Linked DNA regions of Caenorhabditis elegans. The protein of the gene in region 4 purifies or fractionates together with the protein of the main gene of each other region. This does not show direct contact. Each region holds a gene or a part of one and is shown on either strand. Other genes may lie near its edges.

Region 1 (3,168 bases), on a different chromosome or scaffold from region 4:
AATCTTCCATAATTCCGCTTAAACACCTCAATAATAAAGAAAATTCGGCAAATCCGGATCCACGGAAACCATTTTTCGGGGTCTTCGCTTCCATCCGGCTTTGCGAGTTTTCTATATTTTTTGACGTTTTTTTCAGCGGAATATTTTTCTTACCGAGATCTTAAATTTTCTAAAAAATCAGCTGAAAAACCACAAAAAACGAAAATCTTCAGGAATTCATATCCGTGGAATCAAAAACCCTGGAAAATAGCTCACGTGGATTCGAATTCACCGAAATTTTTTATATTCAAATTTTTAGTATTCTGATGCGTAATCAGCGTGGCGAGACCCTAAATTATCATAAAACTTTGTTCAAAAAGCTAGATACTAAAAATTTTTGCGAATCTGGCTCCACGAAATTCAAACTCCAGGGAAATTGTTTCCGCAGACACAAAATCGTGAAAATCCACGGGGAAATCGATTTCTCGGCGATTAAATGCTCAAGAAATCCATATATTTTTGCAAAAGCAGCAGAACACATGGTAGACGAGAAAAAAGGTGTCCGGCGTGCCAATTAGAGTCTGTAGTTGTCAGGGGAGAGTGCAGAGAAACCGAGACCTCGGCTCTCATCGAAGAAACGGATTACGAACATTTTTATTCGGAACAAACCAAGCTATTTAAGAATATCGCAACATTTCGAAGAGAATAAGAAATTGACTAACAAAATAGTACAAGAACACACACAAGATTCGAGGCGTGGGCGTCTACAAATCGGCAACAGTCTTGCCCTTCTCCTCGTAGAGCTTGGCGAGCTCCTGTGGGCATGTGTGCATGTATCCCTTGTTCGCGGCACAGATCTCCTTCATTCTGGTGTATGGATCGTAGTTGCTGAAAGAAAAATTGAATTTTCAGGGGGAAAATGACATAAAATTCACGATTTTGAACGTAAATTGTTTTTTTTTTAATTTTTTGTCAATTGCTCGTGTACTCCTTGAGGAAAAGTGTGTATTTTAATTTTTTGTTTCCTATTAGAACTGAAATTCTCCATTTTGGACCAGTATCAGGCAAAATTAGACGAAATGTAGCTAAAATTTAGTATAAAATTGAGCTCCGTAAATCGACAAAAAATCGTGTCAGAGGTTCACAAGCTTCTAGTGGTCATCCTGAGTGAAATATCAGCAAAAACGATAAATTTCCCAATAAAAAAACTGATTTCGAGACTTGTTAAAGTGAAAATCCGGAAAAATTAGCGATTTTCTTCGATTTTGGCACCACGGATCGCAAATTTATACTGAATTCCATATTTTTTACGAATTCTGGATGTCAAACATTCGCTCTTTTCACTAATTTCGCGGTTAATTTCAACCAACATTTTATGAAAAAGTTGAAAATACATACGCGAAGAAGCGTTCGTATTTCTCGTGTCTTGGCTGAACGTATCCGAAGAAGAAGGCGGCGGTGGCGCCGACGGAGGCGATCAACGAGATGCCGATGGCGCGACGGCCATATTGATGGAGCATGTTACGGGTGGCAGAAGCGGCAACCATCCTGAAAATAGATTTATTTAATTGAGCCTTATCGACTTTTTTTAATTAACGAAATACGATTTTTCCGGGAAAAAAGAGGTAATCAATGCAGTTTCATAATTTTAATGCATGATTTAACTGAGAAAATGGGACGAGAACACATAAAATTCAATAAAACACTGGGAAAAGCTCGAAGCGCCCTTTGGAAACGTGCAAAATAAACAGAGAGCGCCGGAATCGTGGAGCCTCGTTTCTAGTGGATTTTTAGAATGAAATTTGATATTTTAATTGAAAATTGTCAATTTTAAATCTGAAATTGACAGAAAACCATGAATTATTTTAGAAATTTCGATTTAAAAATCAAAAAATAGAAGAAAATCGATTTCCTAGAATGCGCAGTGCATCGCCGAGTACCGAGTACGGTCAACAATTTAAAGTACGCAACCACCGCGAACGTACACCGTCACGTCAGAATGCACACATCGCTGGCAAATAATTGATTAGCTCACGAGCTCTACAAATTCATCGATTTACACAAATTTCTGGTGTTTAAATATATTTTCAGATTCTTTAATATTAAAATTCATATTAAAACTCTATTTCTATTGTACTGTCTGTTCTATTCCAGCTGTAATTTTGAGAAAAATCGGCTTTTTCAGCAAAAACTCAGTGTTTAGTCAATCTTATTTCTAGCTTACTCTCTACTTTTTCTGTGTCTTATTATTGCTTCTTTTATTCGTTTCATTCTACACCTGAATCACTAAGAAATTTAACTAAAAATGCCGATTCTTCTCGAAAACGAATTAAATTCGAATTTCTTCAGCGAAAAATGGCAGAAGAACGCGGTAGACCTCAATACCGACCGAATTGCAACGGACTTTCCAGTTATTATCGGTAAGGAGCTTTTTGAAGAAAAAATTGCCGAAAAAAATCACAAAAAACCAATAAAAAAATCATAATTTTCTCTATTTTGTTCAGGGAACGCTTCGGAAGCCACTCACCAGAAGTCTACCTGAATCTTCGAATTTCCGGCTTCGATGACCGTCTGGAACGGGAACAAATCAAGCAATATCTGACACAAGAGCTCAAGAAATATGCTCCGTTTGAGGTAAAAGCAGCAAAAAATCGACTTTTTTTGTAAAAATAACTTGAAAATTGAAATCTGAAATTCCTAAATGTTCCTGAAATTGAACCAATTTTTGATTTTAATATTTCGAAAATCGATTAAAAAAGCAATCATTTTTCTTAGATTTCTATAAATGTTGCTAAAAAGTTAATAAATTCTTCAAAAGTCCAAAAAATATATATAAAAATCCTAAGCCCCAAAAATCTAGAAAGCCTCAACCAAAAATCCTGAGCCTCAACCAAAAATCCAGAGAGCCTCACCCAAAAATCCAGAAAGCCTCAACCAAAAATCCTGAGAGCCTCAACCAAAAATCCAGAGAGCCTCAACCAAAAATCCAGAAAGCCTCAACCAAAAATCCTGAGCCTCAACCAAAAATCCAGAGAGCCTCACCCAAAAATCCAGAAAGCCTCAACCAAAAATCCTGAGAGCCTCAACCAAAAATCCAGAGAGCCTCAACCAAAAAACCAGAAAGCCTCAACCAAAAATCCTGAGCCTCAACCAAAAATCCAGAGAGCCTCACCCAAAAATCCAGAAAGC
Region 2 (3,173 bases), on a different chromosome or scaffold from region 4:
TTTAATCTGATTTTGATTTGTGTGCGAATTCCTGAATGATGGCGGTGGAAGTCCATCACCCCACCAATTTTTATTCGATTTATTCGAATTATCTGGTAGAGGCGTTGATGTTATCTGAAAAAAATCGTGGGATTAATATCTATTTAGTTTTTACTTTGTTCTTTTTCTTACAGTCGCGCTGGGCTTCATTTTGGCAGATTCCAATTTTTGATAGCAATTGTTACAGACAATCATTGGTAAATCCGAAAGTGTGGGAATAATTGCACGATGAGGCAGACATTTCTTACAGAAGGAGAGAGCACAATTCGAGCAGCCGGCCTGAAAAAATAGAAATTAATTAGTTTTTGATGCCAGAAAATAACTTCTCTGTTTAATAATGAATATTTAGTTCTGCAGTTTGTGCAACAAATTGAGGAAGGCATTCTAGAGAAGAATTTCGGCATTTCGCAATGATACAAAATGAAGAGAATAAGGAAATGACGGTGAAATAACCGGTTTGAAGGTAAAAATGATAAAGTAGACAATTGAATTTTTCTAGTTCATTCTCCAACAATAAATTCACAACAAAACAAATCTGCCTAGATAAAAAACTAAAAGATATATCAAGAATACATCTAGAATCCTTTGCTGTAGAAGAATTGCTCAATAAGAACACGTGGAGCTCCTTTAATTTTGATACGACCTTTCAACTCATCGACGTGACTGGCGATCGAATGTCCAAGATGTTCTTCAAGATAGGAGCGGAGATCATTTTCGCAAGCCTGAAAGATATTTATGTTGATTCAGGATTTAATAATGTTCCCAACTTACAAAAATGTCTCCGTCGACGTTTCTGATAGTTACTAGCTCGACATAATCAAAATCCAACGTTTTCTCATTCAGTAAATCCCTTTTTCGTTCCAAATAAAGAGGAAGAAGATGGTCATGACGACGTCGAATGTAGTATTGATGTGTCTTGGCTGCTTCTGAAATATTTCGATGCGGTATGAATTTAATCTGTATATACCTGTCGGTGGTGTCCATCCGCTTGGTGTAGGATACTTTTCGTGCTCAGGAACATTCGGCACCACTTCTATTGGCATCAATCTTTCCACATACGACCAATCGATAGGAGCTTCTTCGACCGTTGCAAGACTTCTGGCTGTAATTGCTAGTAGAAAAATTATATGATAATAAATAACTTACACTTTTCAGGGAGAGCATGTTTCCATGGATTTTCCCAAAGTTTCTCAGCTTTTTCGACTGAAGTTGTTGAAAAAGACAACCTGGAAACTGCTCGAGGGGAGAAAATGCGGAGAGAAGAACCCAGCATCTTAATAAAATTATATAATTTTGAATAAAATCAAATTAAAAATAAGATTAATTGAAACACAACAATAGAATGCAGAAAATTACTCATAAGAAATAATTTATTTTGAAAGAAGTTGTGTCGATTTACGATAAAAACTACACGCAAACGAGGCTCCGCGTTTACACCGTTTGGCAATGGAGCGCGCTTGCTATTAGATTTTAGGCCAGCTCAACGAAAGTTTAATTTATTTTTCTTCTTTTTTTCCATTTTTTTGAGTAAAATATCGAATTTTTTGTATTAATTCTGTAAATTTTATAATTTGCAACTATTTTGGCGTATTCTGCTTGTTTTTATCAGCGAATTTTTATGCATTTCAGTCAAAAGTTTGAGCAGGAAAAATGACATTTAGGACTTTGTAAAATTGTATTCTTAAATTTGCTTGAAAACCTACGTGTACAATTGATTTTATTGAATTTTTCTTACGTTTCCCGTTGTATCTTATTGTATTTAACTTTCATCATAAAATAATTTATTTCCAGGTAAAATGTCCGACGCTCTCGTGTGGCAAGTCATCCGCAACAACAGCGCTTTCCTCAGAACCCAGCGCGGAATCGGAAAGCGATTCTCCACTGAGAAGTTCAACCTCAAGAAGGTGAACAGCCCAAAATACAGTGGACTCGCTAACAAGCACGCCATCGACGTCAGCGCCGCCGCCAAGGGAGTCGTTGTATCTACCAAGAACGAGAGTAAGAGATTTTTTAAAAATTTATTTTTTACACTGTTTTTTCTCAGAGGGAAGACCAGCCAAGGCCGTCACCACCTCCACCTTGAGCAAGACCCCAGTTGCTTCAGTCCGTCGCTTGGCCAAGAACGCCGGATTCAACAAGTTCAACAAGCTCGCTCAACGTCGTGCCGCCGCCATCGTCCGCTCCCAAGTGAAGAAGGCTAAGGTCCAAAAGACTGACGCATAAATGACGTTTGTTACGTTGTTGTTATGAATATAAAGTGTTACAGCTTATCAACACGTTAAAATTTTTTATTCAAAAAAAAAGTGAAAAATCAAGACAATTAGGAGTTGTTCTTTGTGAAGCACTCAATCCATCTTTTCTGGAAAAAATAAATATGTAAAATTTAGATTAGAAATCCTACCTTGTCGTCGTCAGATGCATGTTCATCTAAATATAAATCAATATCTGCCTTCAAAGAATCGATTTCGGTTTTTTTGGCACGCTTGTTCGAGTTAGCAATTTTAATCATTGCCTGAAAAATTTTTCAATATCTAAGAAGTCGTTTTAAAAATACCGAATGTTCGTCGATTACACTTTGAACGCCATCAATGGTTTCTTTTGAAATTCCACATTTTGTCAACATTTGAATCGGGAATCCACCACCTCCAGAGCAAATTGATACGAGAAGAAAGGACAGAATCAAAAATTTCATGTTGAAATAGCACTCAAATCGGCTCAACGTTGAATGGGCATGCATTCGACGAAAGGTCGATCACGACATTTTAGGTTCAGTTGAAACCGGTTATAGGGCATGGTATTTTTTCTCATTTGGATCGGTTCTTTGGGATTATCCTAAGTTGTTGCAAATTTTTCAGCATCGAGAAATATGAAAATGGTGTCTGACTGAAAATTACTGTTTGTTATAATATAATTATGGTTGTAAAAAAGTACACTTCCAAAACTTTGTATTTAGAAATGTTCAGATTTTGAAAAGCACATTCACTTGCTTTTGGAAGAACGAAGTTATTTTCCATTATTTTCCTCTTCTACGATTTTGAAGAGTTTAAAGAGTAATGGTCTCGACACGAGCGGTGAACTGATTTAAAAAGCTTTGAATATCTGCCTTTAAGATTACTGTATTAATTTGCACTGAA
Region 3 (3,247 bases), on a different chromosome or scaffold from region 4:
AAAAAACATTGTTATTGTAGAGCTCTATAGAGTTCCGCGAAATTTAACAAAATCGATACGATTTTTTAAAAACAATTTTGCACATTTATGACGTATTTCTTTATTAAAAATTAGAAAAACAACACAAAAAAGATAAATTTGTGCCAAAATTGAAAAGTGCGACACGGTTCTATGGACGGTATTTATAGACCATAGTGCGGTAATTCAAATGAGGAACAGTTGAAAAATCGCCAAAATCATCTTTTTTTTCATACTTAGCAATTTTTACGATTTTCTTTTGTGGTATTTCGGCATTTGGGAATAGTGAGTATTTTAAGGTACTCCTTTTTTGCAAAAAAAAACAAACAAACCTGATTTAAATATTCCTGTATAATATCGATCAGCCTTGAGTTTTCATCGAGTAACTTCTGCACAGTTGACTGTTGATCTGGAACATTTGTTCGCATCGCTGGAGGTAGATGTGCCGTTGACATCTGGTGATTTATAAGAAATATAGAAAATAAACAGGGAAATCAAATTTTAAAAAAATACAAGTTGGATATTTTTGAAACCAACAAGAAACCAATACAATAATAGTTTTCAGTACAATATCGAGATAAATCTTCATTTTCTACACAAAAAAAAACAAAATCTAAATAGAAGCGGTTCAGTTTACTTCGTCTTTTAATAGAAATTTACTTAGTTCCAATTCTGGTTCTTCTGTTCCATGAGAAGTTTTGTCCGTAATTCTTTGGCTTAATCTTGCGCTCATGTGGCTCCTCGACGTCAAACTCCCAGCGATTCTTTTCACAGAAAGCGATAGCGTCCTCTTTTGTGGCAAACTTGAGATCCATTCCAACATTGGAGAGTGGATCCGCACTAAATTTTTTTTTTAAACTTTAAACTTCATTAAGATGCTACTCACGTTCCAGACCATCCCATCAATGGATTTTCCCATCTTTGACGATTATCCAGCTCAATGGTCCAGGACTTGGTATTACCCCAAGCACTTTGTGTAGTCTCTCTTGCTGGACGGAAGATGCGAGCGGTACGGGCATCTTGGTGATCAAGTGGAACACCTCCGATATCCATTGTCTCATCGGATGATACTTTTACTGGAGTCTGAAATATTTATTTCAATAAAAATGTCAAGTATAAACAATTTAAGTGCAATTCGCTGAATTTCGTGTATTAAAACAGGAAAAATCAACATTTAAATCTTACTTTTTGAGACGGTTTGTCAAGAATATCGTTGAGCTCAACCTTTTTGGCATCATGCGATCTTGTGACCGGTAGGTTGTCCTTTCCAGTCGAGAGGCAACGGAAAGCCGTGTTTCCCGCCGAAAGGCAACGAGAGGCTCCAGCACGAAGCATCTGTAAATTACTCCATTAATAAATAATTTAAAATTACAATACTGTGACGGATTAGAAAAAATAGAAAAGAATATTTAATTAAAATCAATAAATTGAGAGGAAAAAATATGAAAATAAAAAAAATGTTCGCGTTTTCAACGACACTCCGGTATAACGGTACCGCGTGTTGTTTATCGTAAATCAGATGTTTTTTGAGCTGAATTCATTTTTTAATTCGTTCATAATTTTAGGTCTAAAACTATAATTCAATAAAACTATAATTCAATTTAAACCATACAGATTGTTCTTTTACATTTAATTAATCAATTTAAAAGTATTTCCTAATAGAATTTCTCATAATTCACGAGACCCCATTGTGTTTTGATTTTTTTGACAGCTAGTGCTTGTACGAGAACACATACCATTCCCTTCTTGTGACTCATGTCACTTTTAATATTTATCACAATGATTGCCTTACAGTCTAAGTACATTCTTCACCCTTTGTCTCCCGTTGTAATATCCTTTCTAATTCTCTTGTGAGCTGTTCTTCTGACCTCAACCACCTTTTAATGTTCTTGGATAATAAACTTCATGAAAATTGTCAGTTTTTACACTTGTAACCACTCTTAAATTACCGCTTTCACAACACTTGTTTTAGTTTTCAGAATGTCAAGCTCCAGCGAGACCCAAGTCAACGTAGACACTGAAGAGGAAAGCTCGGTTCAAACATTGGAAGAATCAGAAGAAGATGAACAAGGAGGTGAGGAAGACGAAGAAGATGAAGAAGAAGAAGAAATAGACGAGGATCACTGGGTGGTAATACTGCAATTTGACTGAAACAGAAATACATTCAACTTTTTTTCAGGTCGAAAAAGTACAAGAAATGCGGTACAATGGAAAATTGAAAAGAGTCGAGTTTCTCGTTTTATGGCAAGCTGATAAATCGACATCTTGGGAGCCTATAGAAAATTTTCATGGTGGATATGAAAATTTGGAGATACAAAGATTCCAAACAGAGCATCCTAAACGATTTGAAGATGTCACTAATAAGGCAACTGTAGCAAATAAGAAAGGGAGACCGAAGAAGCAGCAAACATGGATTACAAAAGATATTGACGATGATATATACGAGAAGCCGGATGAATCTGCGCAAGGAGAAGCCAAAAGGCTGGCTGATCCGAATAGATTGCAAGATCCATCTGAAAAAGTACGAAATTGTTCTTAAATTTTCTAAAACCAAAATCGTTTTTCAGTTCCTAAAAACCTATGGCGTTGGAATCGAAGGCCGTGTGTCTCGTAGTAAAACTCGAGATATTCGTCGTACTATAGAGATGAGTAGCGCCGATTCATCGCCATCGGTCAGAAACCGGTCTCCAGTTCCAGTTGAAAAAGAGAAGAAGCAAAAGAAACCGCGTGGGGGAAAGAAGAAAGAGGCCGAGGTGTGAAAAATTGAAAACAACCCCCTATAGCGAGTTTTAAACGTCAAATTATTGAAAAAAAAAAGCCCAATTCCCAGAATAAAATATCAAAATCTTCACGAATTGGGAGAGGAAAAATTATATTTCTTCTCTTCTCCAGAAAAAATATTTACTACAGTAGAAATTAGTTTTTTTCTAATTTTTTTGTCGAATTTACCGAAAATTTCTAGGTTTAAAAATTAAAAACGAGTATTTCATTAATTTTACAATCTTTAACGTTTGTAGATCAAAGTAATAATATTTGATCATAATCTGCAACCCGCCACTTTTCATACTTTTCGGGCGGATTATGCATCATATTCATTCTCTTTCGTTTGTCATTCGCGCTTTTAATTATAACACAGGCCTGATTAGAAAACCCTCGTGCTCCGCTCCATCGAGCCTGATTCCTTTCACTTTTTTTTTGGATAAATCTCAACGAAAAGCTTTCTATTACG
Region 4 (3,338 bases):
CTGCGGGGGACCACTTGAAAATTGGCAAAATGTTGCCGGGCAACCGAAAAAAAAAATTTAGTAAAAACTATAAATCCTTCAGGAAAAATGGGATTTTTTCTTTCAAGTACATGTCGTCCTACTGTATTACATCAATCATCCAAGAAAAGGCAAAAAAAATGTTTCAAAAAGTGTCCGTTGTGCTCCAGCGAGTACGAAAAGATGTCCACAAAAAAGTTGGGAAAAGTCAGAAAAAGTAATCGTCATCTCCTGATGACATCGTTATCCATATGGAATATTAATAATTCATCGATGGTCCGTCCGGCTGCGTCAATATGTCCGAATAAATTGCAGGATGACTTGGAAATTGGATGTGAGGTACCCTGAAAATATTGAGCTCCGGGAGAGCCGAAATCGAAGCCTTCATGCATTTCTAATCACTTCTGACGTTTCCGACGGCTCCTGAAAAATGACTAATCGAATAAATGTCCTAATAAAAAATTGGGTTTCGAAAATGAGAAGCCCCCGCATCAGCATTCAACCGATCCATATCCATCAAAATTCTATTCAAAATTTAGAAGAGATGTAAATGGAGAAAAAGAAGAAATTAAAATTATGAATTTAAGGGGGAAGTTGAACATTAAAGGGGCTCTGAAAAACAGTCAGATCCAAACGTTTATCGTTATCTCGCGGTGACATTATCATATCCACATTCTAAAAATCAAATAAACAGACTGAGCCACTAAATTTGCAGAATGGAAAATTTAAATTTGGATATTTGGGTGTTTGTCGTATCCGTAGTCCTTGTACCACTTCTTCTCCCACCAATATTCCGGCTCTGGCACGAAGAATTCTGGCTCTCCGTATCCGAGTTGTTCCGGTGTGTCGATTCCGAGCTCCTTGAGCACTGGCTCGACCTGGAAAAAGAAACTACGTGTTTTTTTCCCAGTGAAAAACACTTCAAAATTCGCTGATAATTAAAGATTCTGAAGATGTGACTAGAATGAGCTGGCGGCTAGCAGCCGCAGCTTGTAAGAATTAGAATTTTGGGGCCGAACCTGCTTAACAATGTAGGCGTAGACGGTATCACGGTTCTTCTGGGCTCCGCACTTGATCTTGATAGCCTCAAGGAAACGAACAGCCAAAGCAAAGTCGTTGACACGGCGGCACGCACGAAGGGCAGCTTCGACGACCTTTGGGTCTGGGATAACGTCGTAGTCATGCAACTCGGAGAGAGCTGAAAGCTAGAAAATTGATCTACGGAAAGCTGGTGCATTTTTTTTCCGGAAAAATCCATTTTTAAGGGAAAAATCAATTTTTTCTGCAGTGCTTTCGAGAACATACCCTTTCTGACCTCCCATCCGTCGATTTCTGGGCGATTGAGGTAGTTGATGAAGTGATTGTCGAACTCTAAAATCAAAAAATTGAACTTTTGAAAGCATTTTTTAAAATGTGGTGTTTAGCACGTAGTATTTGTTTAGCTATTTTCTCATACTGCCGGTTTTTGGGAAAATATCAAATACTCCTACTCAAAAAAAAAAACTCACTATCAGCGGGCCACTTCTCCATGATGTCGTCACCGTGTCCGGAGACTGGGGTGGTGGTGGCGATGGTCCGGACGGCTTGGCGGCCGGCGATGGCCAGTCGGGTTACAGCTCGGGTCAACGAGGCCATGTTACCTGAAAACAATGAGCTTTAAGATGAGAAAATCGCAAAAGGAACAATTTAAATCAACAAAACCATGAAAAAGCATTTTTCAGCTCTAAAAAATCGAAATCTCGTCAGAATCTCAAAAAATTAGTTTCATTTTGCAGCTTAATTGAAATTTCATCAATTTAAGACAAAAAATATCAAAAAAATCAACATGCTCCCTGAAAAAATGCTCAAAAACGTTGCTTCTATCGATTTACGAGAGACGGGCGAGGAGTGCGTTGAGGAGCGTGTTTCGTACACTTATGCGTCACTTGTCGGCCGCTCTGTTGATCGGACTACGGTAAAAGCGTGTTTTGAGAGGTGAAGCGTTTAAATTTCGGCACGAGTTTCAAATTTTAATTAATTTTTGTTTTAAATGGTTTTAAATTGTTTTAAAATGTTTTTCGCTTGTTTCTGCACGTTAATATTGATTTTTACACTATATTCTACTAGTTTTTTCATGTGTCTTCCCATTTGTAGGCGGAATTCCAGTTTTTGATCCTTTTCCTCAAAGATTTCCATTTTGTGCGCATTTTAGTTGTTTCCAGGGTGTAATTCAGATCTTTCAAGCCTGAATTTGTGAAATTTAGTTTAAGGGGGCTTTTCATACTGAAAATGGCCCAAAACTACCGAATTTCGTACTGATGACGGTTTAAAGTGTAAAAATCCCGTATTTTTATCTAAAATCCCTTTATTTCCAGCTTTTTGGCAGTTTATTCGGCAAAAAAGTCGAATTTCTCCAAAAAACCGAAAAAAAATCGAATTTATTCAAAAAAAAAAGAAAAGAAATAATTTCTCCAAGAAACCGAGAAAAAAGTCGAATTTTTCAAAAAAAATCGAATTTTCTAAAAAAATCGAATTTTCTAAAAAATCAACTTTCCCCGAAAAAAAAACGACAAATTTTCGATTGTTTTTCCGTCATAATAACTAAAACAGCTTTTTTGAAAAACATTTTTAGTTTTCTTGGTCTTAAAAACCCCAAAATTCAATTTTCCGTCAATTTCTACCAAAAAACCATGTCCCAGCCCTGCTAGGCATGTTTTAAAGCACATTTTCCAAAGAAATTTCGCTCCAAATCACAACCAGATGGCATTTCTCGAGTTTCCCAACAGTTATTTCAACATTGTCATGTTGCAAATTCCACTCTAATCCATGAATTTTGAGCTGACAGCGGGCGGCAAACGGTCAAAAGCATAACAATGAAATGGGGTACCGGAGGGAGGAGGAGGAGGAGGCAATTAATCGTTTAGGAGACGGCCAGATTTATGAGTTTCACTGCTCTCTGTCTGACAGCCCAATGCCGCCACACACACACTAACCACAAAGTGTCTGGAGGGTGCAAAGGCGCGCAAATGTGCTTCCAGGTCAATGACTTCTGGGGCTCAATGAGCCAAGTTACACCTTTTTTCCGGATCACTTTTACTATTTTCTGATACTTATTCCTTTGCACATGGAAGCTTGTCGTTTACTTTGAGAATGTCACTGCAACTTTTTCCTCACGAGGGACGAGGAAAAGTGGTTTCTAGGTCATGGCCGAGGGGCCGACAAGTTTCAGCGGCCATTTATCTTGCTTTGTTTTCCGTCTGTTTTCTTTTGTTTTTCACAGCTTTTTCCCGTTTTTTCTTATTAAAACTGATAAATAAATATTTTTTGCAGATGCTAAAACA

The links.
Region 1: the proteins of cox-5A (region 4) and cox-6C purify together in Caenorhabditis elegans (affinity purification with mass spectrometry, with the first as the bait; one large-scale study listed by BioGRID). This does not show direct contact.
Region 2: the proteins of cox-5A (region 4) and mrpl-49 fractionate together in Caenorhabditis elegans (co-fractionation; one large-scale study listed by BioGRID). This does not show direct contact.
Region 3: the proteins of cox-5A (region 4) and lpd-5 fractionate together in Caenorhabditis elegans (co-fractionation; one large-scale study listed by BioGRID). This does not show direct contact.

The regions. Positions count from the first base shown.
Region 1 is NC_003282.8:125,090-128,257, reverse strand, and holds cox-6C (Mitochondrial cytochrome c oxidase subunit VIc/VIIs domain-containing protein), read right to left. Parts: upstream 1,528-3,168; 5' UTR 1,527-1,527; coding exon 1,378-1,526; intron 868-1,377; coding exon 744-867; 3' UTR 618-743; downstream 1-617. Other genes in the region: grld-1 (RRM domain-containing protein), read left to right, coding at 2,335-2,399, 2,484-2,613.
Region 2 is NC_003283.11:12,726,770-12,729,942, reverse strand, and holds mrpl-49 (Large ribosomal subunit protein mL49), read right to left. Parts: upstream 1,313-3,173; coding exon 1,186-1,312; intron 1,142-1,185; coding exon 1,007-1,141; intron 966-1,006; coding exon 811-965; intron 762-810; coding exon 615-761; 3' UTR 526-614; downstream 1-525. Other genes in the region: zfyv-19 (FYVE-type domain-containing protein), read right to left, coding at 1-114, 172-318, 363-422; rpl-28 (Large ribosomal subunit protein eL28), read left to right, coding at 1,836-2,037, 2,084-2,262; R11D1.13 (DUF148 domain-containing protein), read right to left, coding at 2,360-2,398, 2,441-2,551, 2,594-2,731.
Region 3 is NC_003279.8:4,371,666-4,374,912, forward strand, and holds lpd-5 (NADH dehydrogenase [ubiquinone] iron-sulfur protein 4, mitochondrial), read right to left. Parts: upstream 1,354-3,247; coding exon 1,204-1,353; intron 1,102-1,203; coding exon 905-1,101; intron 859-904; coding exon 675-858; 3' UTR 590-674; downstream 1-589. Other genes in the region: ZK973.9 (SS18 N-terminal domain-containing protein), read right to left, coding at 351-446; cec-10 (Chromo domain-containing protein), read left to right, coding at 1,999-2,148, 2,198-2,539, 2,586-2,771.
Region 4 is NC_003281.10:12,903,811-12,907,148, reverse strand, and holds cox-5A (Cytochrome c oxidase subunit 5A, mitochondrial), read right to left. Parts: upstream 1,659-3,338; 5' UTR 1,654-1,658; coding exon 1,527-1,653; intron 1,390-1,526; coding exon 1,324-1,389; intron 1,217-1,323; coding exon 1,038-1,216; intron 897-1,037; coding exon 744-896; 3' UTR 530-743; downstream 1-529. UniProt on the Caenorhabditis elegans protein: Component of the cytochrome c oxidase, the last enzyme in the mitochondrial electron transport chain which drives oxidative phosphorylation.